2 linked regions of the Pelodiscus sinensis genome follow. The protein of the gene in region 1 interacts with the protein of each later gene in a pairwise test. Links are inferred from orthologs where the notes say so. Each region holds a gene or a part of one and is shown on either strand. Other genes may lie near its edges.

Region 1 (4,581 bases):
TAAAGAAAGATTACACAAACTGGCTGCGTCTAGACTGGCATGATTTTGCGGAAATACTTTTAACGGAAAAGTTTTTCTGTTAAAAGTATTTCTGCAAAAGCGCGTCTAGATTTTGTGCAAAAGCATCCGTGGCCAGTCTAGACGTGATTTTGCGCAAGAAAGCCCCGATCGCCATTTTAGCCATTGGGGCTTTTTTGTGCAAAACAGTTCTTTCCTGTCTACACTGGCCCTCTTGCGCAATTATTCTTTTGCAAGAAGGCTTTTTCCCCCGAGCGGGAGTGTGAAAGCATTTGCGCAAGAAGCACTGATTTTGTACATTACAAAGTCAGTGCTCTTGCGCAAATTCAAGTGGCCAGTGTAGACAGCTGGCAAGTTTTTGCCTGCTTTTGCGCAAAATCTTGCCAGTCTGGACGCACCCTCTGAGTATTACAAACAGCACTACATGTGCACATTAAAATTCTTATATTCTACAATGAAGACTTTTTGTTGCAGTGTCCTATGGCCTTCCCTCTGGCCTATAAGATAACTATTGTCAGACTTAGGTTTTATCTCCAGGTATTACAAGAGGCTATATTTCATTGTTTATTGCAGCATACGTAAAAACATACCTTTCCTTACAGCCTGCATTTCATGCACATCCTCTTGGAGTTCTAGGCTGGCTTTGCAGAAAACATTACTATTCCTAGGGTTCATCTGAGCTGCCAGGAAAGGGCATTTAGTGGCAGAGCTCTGGTTAGTGTTCTGGCTAGTAACAGCAGGCGGATGGCCAGTAGGGAGCTGGGATCCATTGGTTTTCTCAGGGGACACATCTTTGGAATTTTTGGCCTCTTAGATAGGAGAAACAAAATAATGGTTAAAAACCAAGAACTGAGGTGACTGGATTGCCTAAAAACAAAAACTCTGACAACTGACGCTAAACCACAAGCTATTCAGAATTGTGCAACTGAACCATCTATACTTGTGTAATCACAAAATATGAAGTGTCAATATCTGATTAGCATTTAAACTCAAGTTTTCTTGAAGTGTTCAGCATTATTGCCTCTTCCCCCTATGTGGAACCAGTATGCTTTGTGTAGGAGTTTAATTTCAACTTCAAACTTTTTCCAGCTGCCCCTTCTCTATTATTTATTATAAATTCTCATCCAGGGTCAATAACAGCCATAAATCATAAGCTGATAACTCCACTGACCTGGATTTGTACCAATTACATAGTTATGGTCAGCAGACCTTTGCTCTCAGACACTGCTCTAGTTTGCAGAGTATGAACAATAGTTTTAAGATAATCCAATTGATTTCTTTGCAAGTATTTGTTAAATTGATAAGCAACACGTGTTAAGAGAAGATTGAACACAACACTTAGAAGTAAACTGGTTCAGGCAGTTACAATTGCCAGACGTTTCCTTCTGGCTGGGCAGTTCCCAGGGTGCTTAAAGTTCTTCCTCTTCTACTTAAGCAGGAAGCTTTTATTACATAAGTCAAAGGTTGTTATTGTGAAAAACTACTGAATAAAAATGGCACCCTGCAAATGTTACAGAACAAGTAACCCTATCATCATTAAATGCACGTTAAAAGGATGGAATATTATATAATAATGTACCTAGGATGCAAATTAGCTATCAAGAGCTGATTATATCCATTTAATGTTGCCCTGTAATAATTTAATGTATGCTTAGCAAATGCCCCAGGGACCCAATTCATTTTTATCTTATTGCATACCTTTTCACCGTTGCTTCGCAGTAAGATAGCAATGTTATAGCATACTCTGCATTCCTAGTTTTTGGAAGGTGGTGTGTTTTTCAAACAGCTAGGTTCCACCTCCCACAATTTCCCTTTCGGTTGTTCAGTGTGCATTACATACCGTAGCTGTTTTCATTTACACTTCTATTGCATTAGAAGACATACAAGATTTGGATGAATTACAAAATCCAAAAGTCAGAATTCCAAACTCATAACCCTATTCCAAGTGCAACACTGAATCGTACAGGATTAAGTAGTTTTCTTTCAAAGAAAAGCTTAACAAACCAGACAGACCAGTCTTTAAAAACAAACAAAAAATCCCAACACACCCTGAGGCATTTGAATGAGTATATAAGCAATACAGAGTAAGAACAACAGCGAGATATTTACTGGTAAACTTTTTTGGGTTTTCACGCCACTCATTGAGAGAGCAAAATCAGGGGCAATTTAGAGGTTCTAACCTCTCCTAGCCCTATAAATGAAAGGAAAATGTTGGGAGCTAGTATTAAACAATCTAAAAAGCCTTATGGTGAGGAAGCTTTATTTTACCATAATTTTAAGCACCTGAAAGACAAAATTGACACTGACTGTCATTAGGTGGAGTTGTTTCTTCGGCCTGTTGGCAGTGAGCAACTGAAGTACCCAGGGCACGGGAAGCAGGCTTAGTCCCAACCTCCATCATTTTAGGGCAGCTCTGAGCGTAAAAGAGCAGCGACTTGCCAGCCTTCTGCAGAAAAGCCTGGGATACCCGTGACAGGAACGGGCAGCGGCGAACAACAGTTTCCATTTTCGGGTGTTTGGATCCTGTAGCAAGATGCAGAAACGGCAACAGCGTTAGATAATGTCTTACCTACAAGACTGCCAGGTTGCATAACACACACAACAATCAAGCCCCCGCGGGGGGAAAGCCGCGCAGTGGCAGCCCCGCGGTGCGATGAATGAAGCAGAGACCCAGGGAGCGATCAGAACCAGGGTGGGCGATGAGGGGGCTGCGCTCCAGGCTGCCCACAGGAAGGGGCGGGAGGGGGAGCGTTTAAAGGGGCAGCTGCAGGGAACGGACTGACCGGGAGGTTACTGCGATGGGCGGGCTCAAGCATTCCCCCCCCCCCCCCCATTTACTTGGTGCTCGCACCCGGGGCCGGCCCCGCGCGGGGGGGGGGGGGAGGGGGAGGGTGCCCGGCAACGCCGAGGGGCAAACGGGGTTTCCCAATGTCGGGGGGGGGGGGCAGCGAGACCCCTCCCCGGTTTCAGCGGGGCGGGTCCCCGGGCGGGGGGCCCGAGCGCTGCGGACCGGAGCCGGCAGTCGGGGAACCCGCCCCCCTGCCCTGCCCTGCCCGGGCGAGCCGCGGCCGGAGCGCTCTCCCCCCAGCCCGGGGCCCCACTCGCCTCGGCCGCTTGTCCGGCTGCTCCTGAGTCCCTCCGCGAGCGCCTCAGGCCGCCGCTCCCTATATAACCACCCCGCGCTCCGCGCAGGCGCACAACAGGACGACTGCCCGCTGTCCCCCTGCCCGGACACACAGCGGGAGCGCACGCGCGTCGACGCCTACCTACGCTATGACGCTCGCGCTCGCCCCCTCGCCCCGCCCCCCTCCCCCGGCCTGCGCGCTCGGGGGGCGGGGCCAAGTGACGCAGCGCCGTTTGGGGGCGGGGCAGACCGAGGGAACGGAAGGCGCCTCGCGCCTGCCCAGGAACGGGGCTGAGGAGAAAGCTCTCGCTGCGGGCGCCTCGCCCCGGGCCGGCTGGAGCAACACGAGCCCCTGGCGCGGCAGGGCCTGGCTCGGGAGCCCGCAGGCCCCTTCCTGCCGTGCCCCGGCCCGCGGGACTCAGCCTTTGCCTGGCAGTGGGGCGGGGCGTCATACAGGCAGCTCCCTGCTGAGAACGGGTCTGGGAATCGCCCCCCCGGCTAGGGCCCCGCTGCCCCCTTCCCGGGGCATGTTTGGGGGAGAGGCTGGGCTCAGGGCCCGCTTTACTTAGGGTACGTCTGGAGGACAGGCTCTGGGAGCGTCTAGACTACCCCCCCTCCCCCCCGCTGCGACAGAGCAAGCTCTTTGCCGCCCGCACAGTGTGGATGCACAGGACAGTGTAGCTGCTCGAACGCCTTCTGTCGCCAGACCTCCCTGCGCAACAGGCGTTATTCCTCGTAGAATGGGGTTTCCTGCCGAGTTATGTCGACGGGACTGGGCGGTAGTGTAGCGACAGGTATAGTTTTGTCGACAGAAGTCCACATTTCTTGACAAAACCCTGTAGTCTACACACACCCTAACTGCGAAAGGGAGACAGCTCTGTGAGCATGGACAGTGCAAGCGCTGCTGCTAGTCACTAAAGGGTTTGGAATTTCAGGGTGAAAGATGTTGGGGACAGATACTTGTCTTCTCCCACCAAACTATCCCATCAGCCACGTGTAGATCTAAGATTGGACAGCAAGACACACAGGTGGAATATGGCACCTGACCCTACTGCCAGGTAGGCCTATGTACTGGAGGGAGATAGTCACCTTCTATTAAGTCCAGATCACAGATGCAGGAAGAGTGGGAAGCTATTTGTTGAAGATTAGTTATAGAAATGTAGCTGTGTTAGTCCTGTTTCTTGTTTCAGCTACATCAGACTATGTAGCACTTTAAAGACTAACAAGATGGTTTATTAGGTGATGAGCTTTCGTGGGTCAGACCCACGAAAGCTCATCACCTAATAAACCATCTTGTTAGTCTTTAAAGTGCTACATAGTCCTGTTTTTTGTTTGTTGAAGGATTGTTATCTTTGCTTGTACTGTTACTTCTCATGTCCTTCCATCCCTAGTGCAAGACACTGCCGTACTTATTACATGTAGGGATTTTAAGTCCTTTG
Region 2 (4,581 bases), on another chromosome or scaffold:
CTTTCTTCCTTTGGTCAGGATCCTGAAATCTATCATCTCATGATCACTGCTTCCCAGGTTGTCACCCACCTCTACTTCCCCTACTAGTTCCTCTCTGTTTGTGAGCAGCAGGTCAAGCTGCGCATGGCCCCTGGTTGGTTCCTTCAGCACTTGTACCAAGAAGCTATTCCTAACATTGTCCAAAAACTTTCTGGATTGTCTGTGTACTGCTGTATTGGTCTCCCAACAGATGTCAGGGTGATTAAAGTCGCCCATGAGAACCAGGGCCTGTGATCTGGAAGCTTCTCTCAGCTGTCCAAAGAAAGCCTCCTCTATCTCATCCACCTGATCTGGCAGTCTATAGCAGACACCAACCATAACCTCACCCCTGTTGCTTCCACCTCTGAACTTAATCCATATACTCTCAATAGTCTTTTCTTCCTCAAAATACTGGAGTGCCAAGCAATCATACTGCTCTCTTACATACAGTGTAACGCCTCCTCACATAACAGTGCTCCAGTCATTCAAGTCATCCCACCAAGTCTCCATTATTCCAATCACATCATAGTTCTTCAACTGGGCCAGGGCTTTTAATTCTTCCTGTTTATTTCCCAGGCTTCTCGCATTTGTGTACAAACACCTTAGATAACCAGCTGATCGCCCTACTTTCTTCATTCAAATCAGGGATCCTCTTTTGTTGCTTGTTCCTCCTTGTGTTTCTTCCCGGTATCTGACTTCCTCACTTACCTCAGGGCTTGGGTCACAGTCCCCCAATGAACCTAGTTTAAAGCCTCCTCGCTAGGTTTGCAAGCCTGCCCTCGAAGATGCTCATTCTTCTCTTGGTTAAGTGGATCCCATCTCTTCCTAACAATCCTTGTGCCTGGAACAGAGTCCCATGGTCGAAGAAACCAAAGCCCTTAGGTTGTAAGAGTTTACAAAAGCATAATTTGGTTGCAGGCTCTGTTGCATAGATTTATCATTCATACAAAGGTCCCCACTTTGCAGCAGGTAACACTGTCCACGCCTTGCCAACAATGCTTTGGGGACCTTTCAAGATCTTTGGATGGAAGCAAATGTCCTCGTCGTGATCGTCCAGGGGCTGCGCTGGCTGGAGGCTCCGCCAGGAAGGGTCGCGGCCGAGGCTACAGTCAGCGCAGCCGCAGGCCCCGGCCCCGGGGCGTCTCTTACCTGCTTGGCGCAGGGCGCCCTGCAACTTCCGTAGCAGGCTGAAGGGGACGAGGAGGCCGGGGCCACGCCCGTCGGCCTGGGCGGCCAAGGCCGCCTCCAGCTCCGCCCGCAGCTCCAGGGGAAGCCGCTCGAGCTCCCCGCTGGCGGAGGCTGCCGCCCGCGCCAGCCGCTCCCCGACGCGCATGGAGGACGCCATCTTGAACAGGGCGGGCGGTCACATGACCATAGGCCAGGGCATTCCGGATCAATCATGGCGAGCGGGCTTCGGGGGAGGGGAAGGATGCCGGCCGCAAAGGACGCTGGGAAGGCGGCCGTTGCGCAACCGGCAGGGTTCGCCATGGTGCGGTGCATTGTGGTCTGGTGGTGGTGACAGGGCTCGGCCGCCGTTGTCCCCGCCTCGGCGCGCGGGATGTCGGGCTGCGCGGCGCGGCGCTACCTGGTGGCGGCTCTGAGCGGGTGCCGGGCCCGGGCCCTGCCGCCCCGGGCGGCCGCGAGCCACGGCCTGCGGGCGCTGTGTGCGGGGGGGGCCGGGGCCTGGCCGCCGCCGCGCCGCCTTCTCTCGTCCAGGTGAGGCCGGGGAAGCGGGGGGCGGGGCGAAGCTGGGGCTGGGGGGGGCCGGTCGGGGGGGCGGGGCGAAGCTGGGGCTGGGGGGGGCCGGGAGGAAGCGGGGGTCGGGGGGGCGGGGCGAAGCTGGGGCTGGGGCCGGGAGGAAGCGGGGGTCGGGGGGGCGGGGCGAAGCTGGGGCGGGGGGGGCCGGGAGGAAGCGGGGGTCGGGGGGGCGGGGTGAAGCTGGGGCTGGGGGGGGCCGGGAGGAAGCGGGGGTCGGGGGGGCGGGGTGAAGCTGGGGCTGGGGGGGGCCGGGAGGAAGCGGGGGTCGGGGGGGCGGGGCGAAGCTGGGGCTGGGGGGGGGGCCGGGAGGAAGCGGGGGGCGGGGGGGCGGGGCGAAGCTGGGGCTGGGGGGGCCGGCCGGGGGGGGGCGGACTGTGGGGCTGCCCCGCGCGCCCGGCCTGAGCGGCTGCCGGTCTCCCCGCAGGCACCGGGCCGAAGGCAAAGTGCTGGAGACCGTGGGGGTGTTCGAGGTGCCCAGGCAGCACGGCAAATACGAAACGGGCCAGGTAGGCGGGGCCGCGCCGAGCGCGCTGCTCCTGCCCGCGATACTGAAGGTGCCACGCAGCGGCTGGAACCTGCTGCCTCTGCCGAGCCCACAGGGCTGCCGCGCCCCGCGCCTTTCGTTGGCCGCATTCCCAGTTATCGCCCCCTAAGCCCGCTGGGCACCCTGTGCTGTCTCCGCTCTCCTCTAGAGCCCTGCAATGGAGTGAGGCTTGGATTCTTTCTTCTCTCCTGCCCCATCAATCTAGGTTGTGTCCATATCGTGCTGCTTCTTCCTGCATAATAAAAATAAAATGCTGCCTGCTTAGAAATGTGAGGTGGTTCGTCCTTTCCTTTATTGTTCATGGGTTTTAGTCTATTGGCTGTGAATTATCACAGGACTGAAGTTTATGATTTTCCCTCCCCTTTCAGCTATTTCTTCACAGTGTATTTGGATATCGAGGAATAGTTCTGTTTCCCTGGCAAGCCAGGTTGTATGATCGGGATGTTGCTTCTCCTGTTCCAGAAAAGTAAGGAGTTGGCTTTTTCCCATGCTGTTGTTATATTTAAGCCTTTTACTGTTTTTCCTGCTCTGAGGTTTTAGGAAAGAGTGGGGCAAAGCCTCAAGTGGGTGTTAAGAAGTGAGTAATTTGTTAATTGTGTAGTCAACAAAAACTGGGATGAGGCATACCTGGGAGGTTGACAAATATCTTTGATGTCCACCGCGGAACGTCCAGACTACCGCGTTGAGCTGACGAACAGCCGATCGGCTCAGTGCGGTAGCCATGTAAATTTAAATGAAGCGGCGATTATTTAAATCGCCGCTTCATTTTCCTATGCCGGGTAGTCTAATCTACATGCCTCTGTTGCTAGAGGCATGTAGTCTAGATGTACCCTAAGAGCCAGCACAGGGGTTGATGCTGGTCCCAGCATGAGCCAGGACTGAGCCAGCCTGCACGCACGCCAGCTCTTAGTGCTTGTAGTACAGAGCTGCAGTGAGGGTTGATGCTAGGTCCCAGTGTGAGTTGGGACTGAGCCAACCTCTTGGCCAGCTCACTAAAAAATTTACTTGTGAGGGGGGAGAGGAGTGTTGTGTGTAGTTGATAGCGTTACTCAATAAGCACCGGCTTATTGGTTGTTTTGTTGAATACACTATTATGGCCCTAGTGAGCACCAAACTGGGAGAAATGTGTTCATAATAAAAGAAGCTATTTTGGTATTAATGTAGACTCATTTAAAAGATGGGACAAAGGTTTCAGGAAATAGTGGTAGAATGTTAAGAAAAATATCCTTAGCTCTTTGAGGTGGATTTAGATGCAGGTTGCTGTATTGGTTCCTAGTGATTTGAGCTAGTTCATTTTGTCTCCATTCTTGGCAAGCTAAGTTCAGTTGAGCCTCCTCAGAGATGGAGCCTCCTTGTCTTTCACCTGTCTCTAAATGCAACTAATGAACCCTGCAAGTGAATCTTGGTTGATATGGGGAGGACTGAGGAGTGAACACACTGAAAATAAGGGTGGAGTGAAAGCATGAACCCAAATAAGAAGCCTAACTGATTAGTGGGACTCGTCTCAGTCTCTGTAAATTGGAGCTATCATGCCACTGACATTGTTGTTTTTGGGGGGAGGGGACATTGCTCATAATTTATTGCTGCATATGTAGGTGGTGTGAATCTCACATTTAGAGTCCTGCAAATCCACGGATATCTGTGGCTCATTTTTGCAGATGTGGATGCAGATACACAGTTTTATCTGCAAAAATGAGCTGTGGATATCCACAAATTTGCAGTTCTAGATACAAAATTTGTATCCCCACAGGGCTCTACTCATATTGACTGAAATGGAGTGACTGGAGATCCTGAAGTGTATTCACAACCTACTTTTTCTTTAAGAATGAAATTGTTGCTGGTAGCAACTGTTTATACCTTATCCATATCAGAAATGCATCCTGATGTGTGACACAACTTATTCCCCCTTTATGTACCAACTTGCTGCTGGTGTGTGTAATCATGTAGGGATGTAAGCGACTAGTCAACTACTCAATAAACATGCTTATCGGGTATTCAAGTTGTGACTCAGCTAGTTGCCCCCCCTTGATGCCTCTGTCAGAGAGGCAGTAAGAATGGGGGAAAGGCAGCTGGTTTGAAACCCGGTTCCCCCCCCCAGCACTATCTCTGTGGGGTGGGCAGGGGAGGCAGAAGTGAAGTGGGGGACCTATTGCAAGATGGGAATCAGTTGATTACCGGCTCGTGCCTGGTCCCAGACGCTGTGCATCTGCTTTGTAAATGGAATAAGAGCCTGGCAGCTGTTAATATATTTAAAAGGCAGG

What was found. The genes of interacting proteins can lie anywhere in the genome.
Region 2: the proteins of ALAS1 (region 1) and POLDIP2 interact in binary tests that used the Homo sapiens proteins (3 or more experiments, as listed by UniProt). The two-hybrid records come from large-scale screens. The link is inferred for Pelodiscus sinensis from reciprocal best matches to the Homo sapiens genes ALAS1 and POLDIP2.

Annotation. Positions count from the first base shown.
Region 1 is NC_134721.1:42,255,775-42,260,355, reverse strand, and holds the start of ALAS1 (5-aminolevulinate synthase, non-specific, mitochondrial), read right to left. Parts: upstream 3,282-4,581; 5' UTR 3,124-3,281; intron 2,542-3,123; 5' UTR 2,525-2,541; coding exon 2,302-2,524; intron 828-2,301; coding exon 609-827; intron 1-608.
Region 2 is NC_134731.1:416,578-421,158, forward strand, and holds the start of POLDIP2 (polymerase delta-interacting protein 2), read left to right. Parts: upstream 1-1,489; 5' UTR 1,490-1,576; coding exon 1,577-1,734; intron 1,735-2,200; coding exon 2,201-2,282; intron 2,283-2,688; coding exon 2,689-2,786; intron 2,787-4,581. Other genes in the region: vacuolar ATPase assembly protein VMA12, read right to left, coding at 1,168-1,363. UniProt on the Homo sapiens protein: Involved in DNA damage tolerance by regulating translesion synthesis (TLS) of templates carrying DNA damage lesions such as 8oxoG and abasic sites.